2 linked regions of the Canis lupus familiaris genome follow. The protein of the gene in region 1 binds, or shares a complex with, the protein of each later gene. Links are inferred from orthologs where the notes say so. Each region holds a gene or a part of one and is shown on either strand. Other genes may lie near its edges.

Region 1 (7,127 bases):
AACTGCCCTGCGCCCACCACACCACCATCTACTTCCTGTGTCTGTGGCTCGTAGCATCTCCTGAGTGGAGCAGCATGCCCGTGGGGTAAGGTGTGACAGCAGCGTGGTGCTAAGGCCCGTACGTGGGGCCATGCTGCTCCTCAGGTCCACCAGGCTCCGTCTCTGTGGGCCCTGGTCTGTGTTCATGTTGGGGTCCACCCGTCCAGGGGAGCAGTGGTGACAGGCCGGCTGCCTCCCTGACACATCACTGTGGAGTCCAAGCCTGTCTGGGGCTGGGAACACACTAACCACCAAGGCAGCCTGGGCCCCTGTTCCCGCAGGGTCCACAATGGGGTATGGGTGTATGTGGGGGGAGACAGACACGTGACCAAGCCTTCAGATGGTGGGGGGCAGGGGCAGCAAATAAAACCCCCTCCCACCTGGGCCACAGATCACCCCACCCACCCTTATCCCCAAGCCTGTGCGCATGGTAACCTAAAGGGCCAGAAGCCCCTTCTGGGGCCCAGTGTCCTCACTGGGGTCCTATAAGGGGAATAGGGAGGCAGGAGAGCTGGGGGGGGGGCTGGACACCCACACGCTCCACAGCTCGCTTTGAAGATGGGGGGGGGCACTCCTGCTGAGTGTGGTGGCCTCTAGAAGCTGGAAAAGGCCAGATACGGACTGTCCCCAGAAAGAGCCAGCCCTGTCCTCCTAGCTCCGTGAGACCCGTGGTGGGCTTCCAGCCTCCAGATCTGTGAACCGGTCGACGTGTGCTTTTAAGCCCCTGAATCTGGTCATTTGTCACGGGAGACTAGCAAACTCCCAAGGCAGTGCTCGTCTGCTGGGATGACTGCCCAGGAGACACCTGGCAGCAACTGGAGACGTCTGCAGCCGTCAGGACCAGGGGACAGAGTGCCACTGGCATTTCGGGGGTGGAGGCAGGGATGCTGTTCAACACCTACTGTGCCCAGGCTGAGGTAGGGCGACCTTGCCTCGCAGTGCTAAGGCCCTGATAGGACACCCACAGGGCAGTCGGGGGGCCTGGGCCGAGTGCCTGACTTCAGGCTGGGAGGAAGGGGTCGGGAGGCTTTCCAGAGGAGGCCAATGCTAAGCTGCAGGCAGGATGAGCCAGAGTCAGGAGGGAGGATGGCCTGCTGAGTGGGTGCCAAGGCCAGTGGTGAAGACCAACTGCGTTCTGGGAATGGGGCCCCTTGGAGGAGTCCGGGCTCAAGGGGAAGGCAGCAGGGAGCCATAGAGGGTTTCCGAGGAGGGCAGGGACATGTTCAGACTTGGACCTGGGAAGTGGATGGAAGGGCACAAGGCCGAGAGCCGGGGGCGGGGGGGGGGGGGCGTCAGTGCAAACAGACCTAGGGCTTGGGGAAGGCATCTCTTCAGAGCTGCTGAGGGACCCGCAGGGCCTGGAGCAGCCTGAGGCCCCAGCAGCCCTCGGGGTACGTGTGTCCGTCTGTAAGAGACGCAGCCCTGCCTGCCCTGTGCCCTCAGACAGGTGCCTCTATCTCCGCCCTTTTCCTCACCTGGAAACCACACGGCCCACCCTCGTCCTCGCTGTGCGGCTGCCTTGGGGGTGGCCAGGTGCTTCCTGAAGCCCTGCCTGCCTGCCTGCCCGGCGCCCCTGGGCCACACCTGGCCATCTCTGCTTTTTTGCAGCCCCCACGTCATGACCCCCTCCCCGGGGACACAGGCCCGTCCTGCGGGGACTGCAGTCGCTCTCGTGAGCAGCTCTACACACGGTGATCACTGAGCGGCCCCGGGAACTCCTGGCCACGCAGACAGCGGGGAGATGAACATGCCCCTCCCCAGGCCCCCAGCCCCGCAAAGCCCCCACCCTGGGCTCAGCCCTCCAGGAAGGCCGGCATCGGCACTTTCTCAACCCGTTCCTGGGCCCCTGAGCACTGTCCGTGGAGCTCCAGGGTCAATGTCTGCCCCCAGCCCCGCACCAGGTTGGAGACTCAGCAGTGGGGTCCGGACGGCAAAGGGGTTAACCAACACCTGTGGTCCAGGTCAGGCCCTGAGGAGCTGCTAGCCCAGGCCCCTTGCTCTGGGCACCAGCCGGGCCACCCCCAGCCCCCAGGGCCAGCACACGGGTCGGGGAGCATTTCCAAAGTCCTTTATTGGGCCGGCAAGGCCGGGAGCTGCCCTCGAGTGGGGTCCCAGTCCCAGTCTGGAGTCTCCAGGTCGCTGGTGCCCCTGCCCCCGTTCCTGACTGGGGCAGGTGGCCTCTGGCAGGCTACTTGATCCGCTCCTTCAGGTATTCCCAGCCGTCCCTGGAGTACTCGCGGGCCTTGGAGGGGGCCACCGACAGAGCTGACATCACCGTGAGGATCCCTGTGGAGAGGGAGGCCCCAGCGCCTTCAGCCACCGCGTCTCGCCCACCCACACCAGCCCCCCGGAAACCCGAGCTCCACAAGGCTTTGAGAGGCACCAGTTCCAGCGCCATCGGTCCCACATGGGGAAACTGAGGCGGGGGGGGGGGCAGGGCCTCATGTTGTCTGAGATCACCTGTCCTCAAAGTAGGCTCCCTCTGGCTCACCCCTCCCTGAAATCTCCACCCTCTTTAGATCCTTTAGATCCGTGGCAGGGGTGCAGGGCAGCACGGGGAGCCACGGGAAGGAGTGACCAGGAAGCAAGCGGTGGCAGGGTTGTGAGGCTGCGGTGGCAGGGGTCACCCCCCAGCACGGGGACCAGGGCCTACCTGAGTTCCAGGTGTCACGGAAGTGAAAGTTAAATTTTGGAGGGGCTGGGAGCTGGGAAGAGAGGGGAGAAGGGGCAGGTGAGAAGGGGAAGGGCCCCGCGGCCCCAGCCTCGCAGGACCGAGCCCGTGGGAGGACGCGGACACGGACACGGACACGCCGCCGGGGGCTACCTGGGGCATCTTCAGGCCGGTCTGCTCGCACACGTACTGGCTGAGCTGGTACATGGCTGGGGGCACCACCTCCTCGGCCCTCTGGAGCACAGCCTGGCTCTTGTCGCTTGGGCCCAGCAGCTCCTGGTCGTACACCAGGTAGACCGCACCCCCGGCCACGCTGCCCTTGATGAGGAACCTGCGGTGGTGGGGGGGGGGGAGGCAGGGCGGCGGCTCAGCAGCTCCCCGGCACTGCCGGCAGCCCCGGGCTCCTGGCCCACGCGGGGCGCCTGGGTCCGGGGAGTGACACAGCGAGGCCGGGCAGCGGACACGGAAGAACAAGGAGGCGGCCGGGCACCGCCTGGCACAACGCTCCCCTCACTGCACAGAGCACAGCCCCTCGGCCCCGTTTAACAGGTAAACTGAGGCCCACTCGTGATCCGCACACGGCGCGGCGAGGGAAGGCCTAGACCCCCGGCCTTGTGCCTCGCGGGGTCCCGCGCGGCCCTGGGCGCTCCTTGGACGTCGCGCGTCGCCCCGGGCACCCGGGGTCTTGGCGCAGCGCGGGCGGCACTCCCGCCGTCCAGGGGAGGCACCTGCGGCCCCGGATCGCGGGAGGCCCCTCCCCTCCTGACCCTCAGGTCAGGCCGAGGCGGGACCCGACGCCACGGAACTCCAAGACCCAGCCGGAAGCAAACCCGGCGGGGGGTGCCCACGGGAGGGGCTTTCTCGGGGGCTCGGAGCCCGCCCCGCCGCCCCACGCACCTCATCAGCGACCACACTCGGGGCACCATGGTCGCTCGGCTCCGCGCGCAAGGACACTCGACTCGCCCGCCGCTTCCGGTGACTGCGCCGCAGAGGCCTCTGGGAAACGTAGTCGCCCGACTCAGCCGCAAAGGCCTGTGAGAGTCGAAGTCGCGCGGCGGCCGCAAAACGCCGGAGAGGCTCCGCAGCCCTCCAGCGAAAGGATTCTGAGAAGTGTAATCTTCAGAGCCCGGACGCCGCAAGGCTGCCTGGGAAATGGAGTCAGGACCAACCCCCGTGAGGCGCCGGACGGCTCGCCCAGCCGCCGAGACTGCTGGGAGATGTAGTCCGGTCTGGCGCGGCTCCGGCGGCGTGCGAGGAAAAGAGGAGTCGGGCGTCTAGACTGAGGCCCGACAGTGGCCCAAGAAGGCGTCGGAGTCCGGGAGATCCACCCGCGCCCGCGCGGGGGACCGAGGGCCCCGGCCCAGGGCGAGTGTGCCAATAAGATGGTTGGTTGTCACGGCAACGCGAGGTCGGAATTGTGCGTGGGAGGCGGGCCCTCGGTCACGTGCCTGCCTCGGGGGCGGGGCTTTCGTCCAGGGGGCGGGCCCAGGACCACGGCGGGGCGAGGGCGAGCCGGGCGGAAGGCCGTTGCCGGGCAACGCCCGGGCGCCGCGCTCCCCCGCCAGGCCCCGCCCCCTGCGGAGGTGGGCTCGGTGTCACGTGACCCGGACCCTACGGGAGGGGGCGCGGTCGGGGGCCCGGCGGAGCCGGCAGCGTAGGGAGGTGCGAGTCCGAGGGGTGCGCGCCGGGCTCCCAGGCCCGGACCCCAGCCCCGCTGGACGGCGGGAGAAACTGAGGCCCGAGTGGGTGAGTACGAGGTTGGGAGCGCGCGGCACGTCGCACGCCCTTTTTGTCCAGAGGGGAAACTGAGGCTCTGTGAGGTCAGGGGACCAGTGCGTTCTGCGAGGGTCTGGTTCTCCCAATTCCGTCCCCATGGGACGCCGGCCGGCTGCTCCGTCCATCCATCCACCCACCCATCCACCCAGACGGCCAGCCGGCCGCCCGCCCCCGCCCCCGCCCCCGCCGCGTGGCTGCTGTGGTCAGGGTGGAAGAGGGTCAAGTTGCGGGACTTCACGGGCGTCCCCTGGAAAGCGGGGAGAGGTGGGATGGCTGCCGTGACTGGGGAAGGGCGAGGACTTCACTCTTCGGAGAGCTGAGAAAGAGTCACAGACAGGAACCCGGCAAGATGAGAAGGGACAGGTGGGCCAGGGCCGGGCCCGCGGCGCATTGTGGGCCGGGGTGAGGAGCTCGGTCTCCACGAGGGGCAGTGGCGAGCCCTGAGAGGGTTTGCAGCAGCAAGGGGCAGTCACATTTCTTTGGGTAAATATGTCTTGGGCTGCCCGGAGAGCATAGGGTGCGGAGGAGGGAGTGGGAGGGTGGGGGAGGCAGGGGGAGGCAGCTGGAAGTTGGCAGTAGGTCGAAGGATCTAGACATCTCAGAGCTGAGGGCACCCCAGCCCCACCATCTCTCAGTTCTACAGTTCTACCCCTACTGCGTTCAGAGAACAGAAACCCCAGGATGTGACGGGCCTGTGCCTTCCTTGGGGGAAGATTCGTGCCCCCCTGAATCGTGAAGTCCTTGGCCTGTTTCTCTCTTTCACCTTCTCCCCGGAACAAGTAAATCCACTCCCACAGCTCAAGTCACATCTTAACCGTGACGACACAGGCTCCTTCCTGGTGTCTCCAGAGTCATCTCTCCGGGTCCCCCCAGCTGTCACTTCCAATGTTCGTCACATCACTCAGGGCCAGTCTCGTGTCTGTCGAGCATCTGCTCCATGTCTGGCAGTTTGGGGGCCACTGAGGACCCAACAGCGAACAAAGCAGAAGCAAGTTTCCGTTTCCTTCCTGCCTCGTGGAGCTGACGCTCTAAGAGGAGAGAGGGACAGGGAGCATGTAACAGATCATCAGGATGATTTCAGATCATGGCAAGTGCTGAGAGCGTGGAAGTTTTAGAGGCAAGAGGAGGGAGAGGGACCAGGAGGTACTTTAGGAAAGGAGGCCAGGGGGTTTTCCTTGGAGAAGGTCAGTTTTGTGCTGACTTCAGAGAAGTGAGAGAGCAACTCATTGGGTTATATTTGGGAAGAGCATTTCGGGCAGAGGGAGTAGCCAATGCAAAGGCCCTGAGGCAGGATGGAGTCTGGCTCCTTCTAAGGAATGCTGAAGAGGCGCTGTTTTGGCAAACAGAGCAAGAGGGGCTGGTCCTCGTGGGGCCTTTTTGAGCATCAAGGAGCCTGGCTTTTGTCCTAAATGAGATGGGGAGGGTTTTCAGCAGGGGGAGGTAAGATGTAATTTGGCTGCTTCTAGGAGGGAGAACAACCTGAAGAGGCGAGGGGAAGCTATATGACCTGGACCAGGTGCTGGCTGCGGAGATGGAGGAGAGAGGGCAGGGCCTGGAGGGAGCATCGTCAGCAAACAAAGGCCCAGCTGGGGAAATGGGGGTGGCTGTGGGCCAGGCTGTGCGCCAGGCTGTGCCTGCCATCCTCTCTCCCGCTGCAGACCCTGCAGACTCAGAGCCGGCCATGAAGGTTCTGCTCCTCACGGGGCTGGGAGCCCTGTTCTTCTCCTACTACTGGGATGACAACTTTGACCCTGGTGAGTGCCTGGAGGTGGGGGAGGGACGAATTGGGCCCCCCATCCGGGGCATCCCCAGCATTGACCACGGTGCACACTGCTAGCCAGCCTCCAGGGAGCCCGGGTGCTGCTGACCGGGGCCAGCGCAGGCGTCGGGGAGGAGCTGGCCTATCACTACGCTCGCCTGGGCTCCCACCTGGTGCTCACAGCCCACACCGAGGCTTTCCTGCAGAAGGTGAGACGCCGATTTCCAGTGGAATGGTGGGGGCGGGAGTGGCTGGAAAACCGGGCCTGGGTTCAAATACTCCCAAAGATCCAGGCTTCGTCTGTGACCTGTAGCAAGTAGGTTAACCCTGAGCCTAGGTTCCTCATTCGCCCCCCAGAGACAATAAAAGTACCTTCTCCTGGGTTCTGGTGTTGGGTTAATACAGTGAGACAGTGAAAGACAGGGAGTGTTCCTCAAAAAATGGGATTGGTGGTGGTGTCCAGAGCCTGTGCCAAACTCCAGGGAGGGGTGGTGGGTGGACGCTTCTTAGCCCATGGTAGCTCCAAGAAAACGTAGTGTTTGCAACGGACCTTGCACGATGTCCAGAGGGGCCAGACATCTCGAGATTGACCTGAAATCTGAGTTTTAAATGCGGGTGTTGAGCAAAGAGAAGGGCCCTTGTTGTAGCCCCCGGGCTGCCAATGTGCCCCCCCACCCCCGGGGCAGAGCTTTGGGAATAATGTGGAATGTAACCCGAAGCACGGGGTTGGTGGGGGGAGGGGGGCTTTGGGCTGGGGCGCCAGAGGCCTAGCAGGCCGAGGGGGGCCCGCCGGGGTGGACCGGCCCACGGGCAGCTCTGGCCCCCCAGGTGGTAGGGAACTGCCGGAAGCTGGGCGCTCCCGAGGTCTTCTACATCGCTGCG
Region 2 (7,318 bases), on another chromosome or scaffold:
TTTTTAAAATTAGCTCTAATCATTTTTTAGTGGATTTCTTGGGATTTTTGTATTTATAAGGTCGTGCCATCCAAGAATATAGTTTTCCTTTTTGTCCAATCCAGATACCTTATATTCTTACAGTTTCTGCTCCGACCTCTCTTTAGTTTACCATGATGACATCTCTGACTCAGTATCAAAACTTCTCTCTTTGCTATCTTTTTGTATGCTCTGAATTTTCAAGTTTAAATTTGAGAGAGCAATAGAGAGATAGAGAAAAGGTGTATAGAATCTGAGTGGCTCAAGTGTTAGCTATTATTTTTGGTTAGGTAAAACTTTGCATTCTAGTTCATAGGTCTCTGGCTAATTGATAATGCTTTTGGATTAGATGATCACCAATAAGCTGTGGCCAGAGAAAAAGGGAGACCACAAGTCCTAGGTAGCTCAAGACATTTTCTTTAGAAGGGACTGTAGGCATGCTTGGCCTTGAAATTGATACAGGTAGGTCACTATTGTTATAGTAGGCATTTTTCCAAGAAAAAGATGTATTTTTTTTTTTCAATTCAAGGTTTTTGTTTTGTTTTGTTTTTGGTTTTCTTTCTTTCTCCTCTTTCTTTCTTTCTTTCTTTCTCTTTCTTTCTTTCTTTCTTTCTTTCTTTCTTCTTTTCGGTAATGTTGTTTGGAATGGATTATTAATTCTAAAGGTTTTTTTTTTAGGATTTTATTTATTTATTCATGAGAGACACACAGAGAGAGGCAGAGACACAGGCAGAAGGAGAAGCAGGCTCCATGCAGGGAGCCGCATGTGGAACTCGATCCCGGGACTCCTGAGTTCACGCCCTGAGCCAAAGGCAGACAGATGCTCAACTGCTGAGCTATCCAGGCATTCCATCATAACTGTATTCAATATAATTAGTGATTCCTTCATATCTCTACTTTCTCCTTAAACTCTTGTAATTAGTTATTTTGGTAATAATTAATTGAGCATCTGTTTTATGTAGAACCTCCAGTTTGCTCTATGTATTGGGGTAATAAGCGAGGAGGGTACATATAGGGAGGGAATGTGCCCAAGAAAGACATAATCTTTGGGATTTTTAGTTCCCTGTAAAAGAAAGGTTTAAATATATTATACAATTTGAGAATAAGAACAAAATAACATAATACAATTTGGAAACATATATATTAAAAATAACAAAATTATGAATGGAATAAATTCATTACTCTACTGCTGACCAGGGACACAGAGATGAAAGACACAGTGTTGGCTCTAAAGATTCCTCCAGTAATGAATAGCCGGTTTAAGGGGTGACTGGGTGGCTCCGTTCGAGGAACATGCGGCCCTTGATTTAGGGGTCATGAGTTCCAACCCCATGCTTGCTGTCGAGATTATTTAAATAAAACTTAAAAAAAAATCATTACAAGTTTTCTGAATGCCTTTGTAATAGGAGGATGCCATGCTGTGTCGTGGTTGGTTGCTTTTAATGTTGACAGGGATTCAAGAATGGCACCATCATTAGCCTCATTTCTAAATCTGCCTCTGTAAGACTATAGTCATTTGACTGGAGTTACAGGTCACAGGGTACGTAGCAGATATCGATTTGATTTTTTTTTTAATAGGCTCCATGCCTAGCATGTAGCCCAAGGTCGGACTCAAACTCAGTATCTCGAGCTCAAGAGCCAGATCCTTCACGGACCAAGCCACTGGGGTACCCCGGTAAGAATTCTAAATGTGTGTATGTCACTTAAAAGTTATTTACTGGTCTTGCAGAGGCGAAGTTCTGAACTAGAAACCTTCCAGAATAAATGATCTCAGCTTCGTCTGCTGTGGTTCTGATTCCTCCCCCAACGCCCGCCGCTCGTGGTAGCGGCTGCGCTTTCCTCCGCCTCGTCGCATCCCGGCCTAAGCAGTTGCGGCAACGGACGGGGAAGGAGGCGCGGGGGCGCTTTGCGGTCTGTGTCCGCGCCTGCGGACCTGAACGCCACAGTAGTTAGAACTTCATCTCACGAAAGTCAACAGAACGGTGCGTGGTACACGGTCCTCCTGAGTACGGCCACAGGGCGAGTTTCTGGATTTTTATTGTTTTTGTGGCTCAGGCTAAAATGAATGTTACATTTTGCCTCATGTTTCTAGTGTTAGGAATCTAGGAATGGCTCCGTTAGGACAGAGCATCTCCCTGGGCAGACCGCGAGTTCCCTGAGGACAGACTTTGTACGCCCCACGTCCCCGACCCACGTCTCTGGAGCCACACGTCCAAAACGTAGGTTTCGTTAGAGGGACGGACTTCCTTCCAAGTCGCCCGCCTACAAAGCGCGCGCACAATCCAGACTACATCTCCCAGGATGCCGCGCGCCCCTCGCGCTCTGGGTCCGAGGCAAGAAGGTCCCAGCCGCTACCGCGCCGGACGGGAGACTACAATTCCCAGTACACCCGGGGGCTGCGGAAGCCGGGTCAGACAGCACCTGTTGCCATAGCCTCCGGGGCCGGTCCAACCAATCCGGGCGCCCCCGCCGAATAGAGGCGGGCCGTTCGTGTCTCCGACCAATCGGAGGCACGCTTGTTGCGGCGCGTGACCGGAGGAGGCGGGAGCCGAGGACCGGCGCCTTCTCCTTGCTTGTTGGGGTCGTGGCCTTGCTCCCGCCGCGCGAGGAAGGCGTCGGCCGGTGCGTCCCCGCGCGTGTGTGCGCGTGGGGCCTGAACTCCTCGTGCGCCCGGGCCAGGTCTGTGCGGGGGCAGAAGCAGGAGCCATGGGCGGGGCCGCCAGCACCCGCCGGGTCACCTTCGAGGCGGACGAGAACGAGAACATCACCGTGGTGAAGGGCATCCGGGTGAGTGACCGCGGGCGGGCGGAGGGCCGGCGCCCGGCGCCCGGCCCGGACCCCACACTCGGGCCTGCCCGGGACGGCTCAGCCGGGGTCCCCCCGCCCGGGCCCCCAGTGCTGTCCGGCCCGAAGCCGAGCTGCCTGCCTGCAAGGAAGCCTGAAGTTTCAAGACTCGGGACGTCCATCCAGAGGGACCCCCTGGCCCCGTGCCAGGCGCTGAGCTGGGCGCTGGGGCGGGTGGGGGCAGCGCCACGCGGAAGCCGACTGCCCCGCGCGCGGCTCCAGTCCGGGCTTGGCCGAGGTGCCCACGAGCCGGGGGGCTTTATCCGAAGCCCCGGCCTTGCCTTCTGTGAAGTGGGGCTTGTCTGAACTCCTCCTGGGTTCAGGATCGCGACCTCATTTTGCGCCGGCCCCCGTTACCCTTCTCGGTGCGTTGGCGCTTCGCGGAAAGCCCGCTCTCCTCTCCTTAGCGCCCCCGTCTCGTGCCCCCGGTTGCCGCACACGCACATGCACACGCACACGCACACGCACACGCCGCAGACTTGGGGCCTGCCCGGGTGCCTTCCAGCTCTGGGCTTTCGCTTGACGCCTCCTCTTTGCCTCCTCTGTGGACGAGGCCCGGTTGCTCCAGGACAGGCGCCTGCCAGGCAGCCGGACTAGCCTGAGCTAGGGTTGCAGTGTTGGGAGACCGCCGCGCCGGTGGGGTCCGGTGAGTCCCCAGCCGCACGTCGCCGGGAAAGCCTTAACGCCCCCCGCGGGTGCTCGGCGAGCAAGCGGAACACTTGGTTTCCCCCCGGGGTGTCGGTACACCGGCCCTACCTGCACTGAACGCTCTTCGCTGCACCTGAACCGGGAGCCTCTCAGTGTTGAGAGTATTGCTCGAACCTGGTCAATGAAGCAGTTTCACTTCTGGAAGTTCCATTATCATTTGTTAAGTTTTCCTTCCTTGTTATCACACAACCCGCATAAGGGAATGAAATGTGTGAATTGTGTTTAGTTCTGTTACCAGGAAATAAAACTTCTTAAATACTTAAAATGTTTAAGAACTTTTACTCTGAAACTGTTACCGTGAGAAGAATTTATTAAAGCTTTCTCTATAGAAGCTCAAACTGTTGACCTCAGTTTTTGGTCTGTGACCACCATTCCTTGATATCAGTTAATGACAGTACCACGTTTTGTAACAGAATGTCTGAGGCTGCATGGCATTGTTGTGGTTTAGTTGGTACTCCTTGGAGTAAAATAAAAACTACTATAAACTGCGTTTTATGCAGAGATTTGTTTAACCTTGCCTTAGGCTCTGACTTTTCCATACCTAAGGGTGAAAATGAAAAGTAAGGGAGAGCAAAGCAAATTCTGGGTGAGAAGTCACTGGCTAGAACAATAGTTAAATCCATGTTCTCACGCCCTGCTATAGACAGACACAGTGATGAGAGCAAACAAAATGAAAAGAAAATTTGGACACAGCACAGACCTTCATATCAAATATTAGGTAAGGTTAGCTACTATAAGGATGATAATAGGGTAGATATTAGCCTAGAATGAGGAGATTGTTTAAAAAACTTTTTCTCCACTTTTTTTAAGTAAAAGAAACTATGTCTTTTGAACACACGACTTGACAGAAGTATTCTTTGTTTTTGTCCTTTCTCACAGAGGGCATTGTATTTATGATTCAAGCACACACCATGCCCCCTTTGACCTCTGTGCTTTGCTTCACTTCAGGATACACCCTTCACCTGGAATGCCCTTGCAGTGGTCTCCCACTTGCTTCAAATCCTTCTTTTTCAAGGTTGATTTGCATCCCTGTGCTTCAGTTTGCTCATCTGCAAAATGATGGGGCTTGAGTACATCTCTGAGACCTCTGATCTTTTCTGGTTCTGAAATTCTGTGAGTCTAGTGGCACTATAAGTTTCTTGTAGCCATACTCAAGCCCATTGCAATTTCCTCTAAAAATGGCACGCTCTTGAATTGTTGAGTACTTGGGGGTCATCCTGAGTTCTTTGGGGTCTTGTTCAAAAAAGCATCAGCTTGGAGTTAAACAGACCTTGGTGTGAGTCTCAGATTAGATGTTTATCATTCTGCGGCTTTGGACAAGTCACTTCTTCATATTTGGTAAGAAGATGGGATAAGGTATTTAAAGCACGTGGCACGTTGTAGCTTTTTAATAAAAAGCAGCTGTTAGGTAAGGTTCCTTCACATCTAATATTTGAAGGTTCTCTGGAAGTGCTGTGTAGTTAGAATAGTGGCCAGAGCACTTGCTTTGGAAGCTGGCCAACCTGGCTTTAGTTCTAGCTCTGCCTCTCACTAGGCTCAGTGGCCCTGGACAAGTCACTTTGATTAGGTTTCCTTGTTCAGTATGTTTAGATACTGCAGCCTGCTTGTGGTATACAAGCATTTAGTGTTTTGACAATGCTTAGTACTTACATGAGTAGTAGGTATTATTAGAGTTGTTCAAGGGAATGGGTATGTAAATTTACATTGATCTTAAAATGATTAAATAAGAGCATATTGTGCTCCCACAGGCATACCTAAAGATGTGGACTGAGAAAAAGGAGTCCTTAGTTCTGCAGCTGATTGCCTGTGTGATTTCCCTTTAGGCATTTTGTATAAATTTTTCAGCCGATCTTTGTATTTTTCCTAAAATACACCCTCTTGCCTTGCCTTGCCTTCCTCTCAAAACAGTCCTCTTGTTTCCCTCTGAGGCATGGGGAAGGATAAGCAACAATCTTGGTATCATAAGCGAGCCACTGTTTTTAGCTCAGTTGACTAAAGCGAGGTGCCGATGAGGCCCAAGCTTCAGCGTTGAACTGCAGATAGGTTCGTTCAACTTAGCTGAAGAAAACATTCCAGATTTGTCCAATTGTCTAATATTTATGTCATCACTCATAAGAAATGAGAGCGTAGCAGCAATTCACAGACTAAGTCACTGCTGGAAAACCAATTCTGCGTTCCACTGATAAGGATAGTAATTTCATCTTCATTTATCTTAATATAGGAAGAGTAACATTTAGTAAGCAACATAAGGCTTTCAGTAACTAGGCTGTGTTTATTAATAGATAATGTTTTCCCAGATTTTTTTTTTTTTTTTTTTTTTTTGCTGAAAATGTCCTCAATGGTTAGCAATTAAAGGGCCTACTTAACAATTTTAAGTTTAAAGTTTATTCTCACCTACCAGGTGTTATTTTCATGGTGTTTATTTCCTTTATCCTTCACAGTTGATAGCTTTCCCTCCACTTGCATAAAATCACTCATATTCTCATACCTAATTCCAGCTTCAAACCTAAAACAACTCATGGGTTGGATGAAAGGCCACCCTCTTGCCTTGCCTTCTTCTCCAAGTTTAAAATCATTTCTAGGGATAGAAAGACCAGGCATTTTCATTACTCATATTACATGTTCTTAATAGGATTTTTCTGAGCACCTGCTGTGCCTGTTTGGAAGGTATGCTTACCATTCAGTCTTTTCACTGGTTTATCTAAAACATCATAGCTGTGAGTGAACTCTTCCAGAGCAAATGTCAACTTCAATGAGTATCATTTTCAAAGTAATATTTATCAGGCTTTCCAGGCATCAAGGAAGCTCTGCAACTGGCCTTGAAGTTGCAAGCTGAAATTCATAGGAGCCATACATGCATGCAGTTGTATGGATCCTCACATGGGATGCGACTGATGCTTTGGGGAAGTATTGACAGTTGGGAGCCCCAAAATGAAAAGATTATTTAATGTGAGATATTGTTGAGGATTCTGGAGAGTGTATATTAACAGAGGCAATAAATCGGTCAGTCACTGGGAGTGTTGAGGGATGCTGTTGAGGTAATTTAGCTAACTGGTGGATGATTGGTTCCTTTCCAGTTTAGATTCTGTGACTCTTGGGCAGAGTACCCTGTTTAGCTTTATAGAACTTTTTTTTTTTTTTTTTTTTTTAAAGCTTTCCAAGAGGGGTGCCTGGGTGTCTCAGTGAACCGTCTGTCTTTGGCTCAGGTCATGATCCTGAAGTCCTGGGATTGAGCCCTGTGTTGGGCTCCCTGCTCATCTGGGAGTCTGCTTGTCCCACTCCCTCTGCCTGCTTGTGCTCTCTCTCTCTGTCTCTCTCAAGTGAATGAATGCAATCTTTAAAAATCAATCAATCAATCAATCAATCAATCTTTCTAAGATTTTAGACAGAAGTTCATTTCCATTAATGACAATTGCAAAGAAATACAAGTGGCAAATTACAAATGTAAGCTAAAAGTTACCATATAAACTTTATGTCTCTCTCTTCCCTCACCATGCCCTTAAGTAAGTATTTGGGAGTAATATCTTCTATATAATAATGGCAGTTTTGGGAACCTGTCTCTTAAAATGGTAGTTAAAAAAAGAAACCAGTACTCTTAAAAAAGATGACCTATGCTACATGAAGACCCAGTGAGAAAAATGAGTCTGAGTCCTTTAGTCAGTTTAAGACACATGGGGAAGAGATGAAGAAAAATAATGGAGGTGAGGGTGTGATTTATTTGTCTTAGGTGGTTCTAAACTTTCCTCTT

The links. Proteins that work in one complex are often made in the same cells at the same time.
Region 2: MICOS13 (region 1) and CHCHD3 share a complex: the UniProt entries of both Homo sapiens proteins name them as parts of the mitochondrial contact site and cristae organizing system (MICOS) complex. The link is inferred for Canis lupus familiaris from reciprocal best matches to the Homo sapiens genes MICOS13 and CHCHD3.

Annotation. Positions count from the first base shown.
Region 1 is NC_049241.1:54,734,398-54,741,524, reverse strand, and holds MICOS13 (MICOS complex subunit MIC13), read right to left. Parts: upstream 4,130-7,127; 5' UTR 3,637-4,129; coding exon 3,608-3,636; intron 3,042-3,607; coding exon 2,864-3,041; intron 2,745-2,863; coding exon 2,693-2,744; intron 2,326-2,692; coding exon 2,228-2,325; 3' UTR 2,091-2,227; downstream 1-2,090. Other genes in the region: HSD11B1L (hydroxysteroid 11-beta-dehydrogenase 1-like protein), read left to right, coding at 6,223-6,240, 6,328-6,454, 7,074-7,127. UniProt on the Homo sapiens protein: Component of the MICOS complex, a large protein complex of the mitochondrial inner membrane that plays crucial roles in the maintenance of crista junctions, inner membrane architecture, and formation of contact sites to the outer membrane.
Region 2 is NC_049235.1:4,055,024-4,062,341, forward strand, and holds the start of CHCHD3 (MICOS complex subunit MIC19), read left to right. Parts: upstream 1-2,551; 5' UTR 2,552-2,724; coding exon 2,725-2,805; intron 2,806-7,318. UniProt on the Homo sapiens protein: Component of the MICOS complex, a large protein complex of the mitochondrial inner membrane that plays crucial roles in the maintenance of crista junctions, inner membrane architecture, and formation of contact sites to the outer membrane.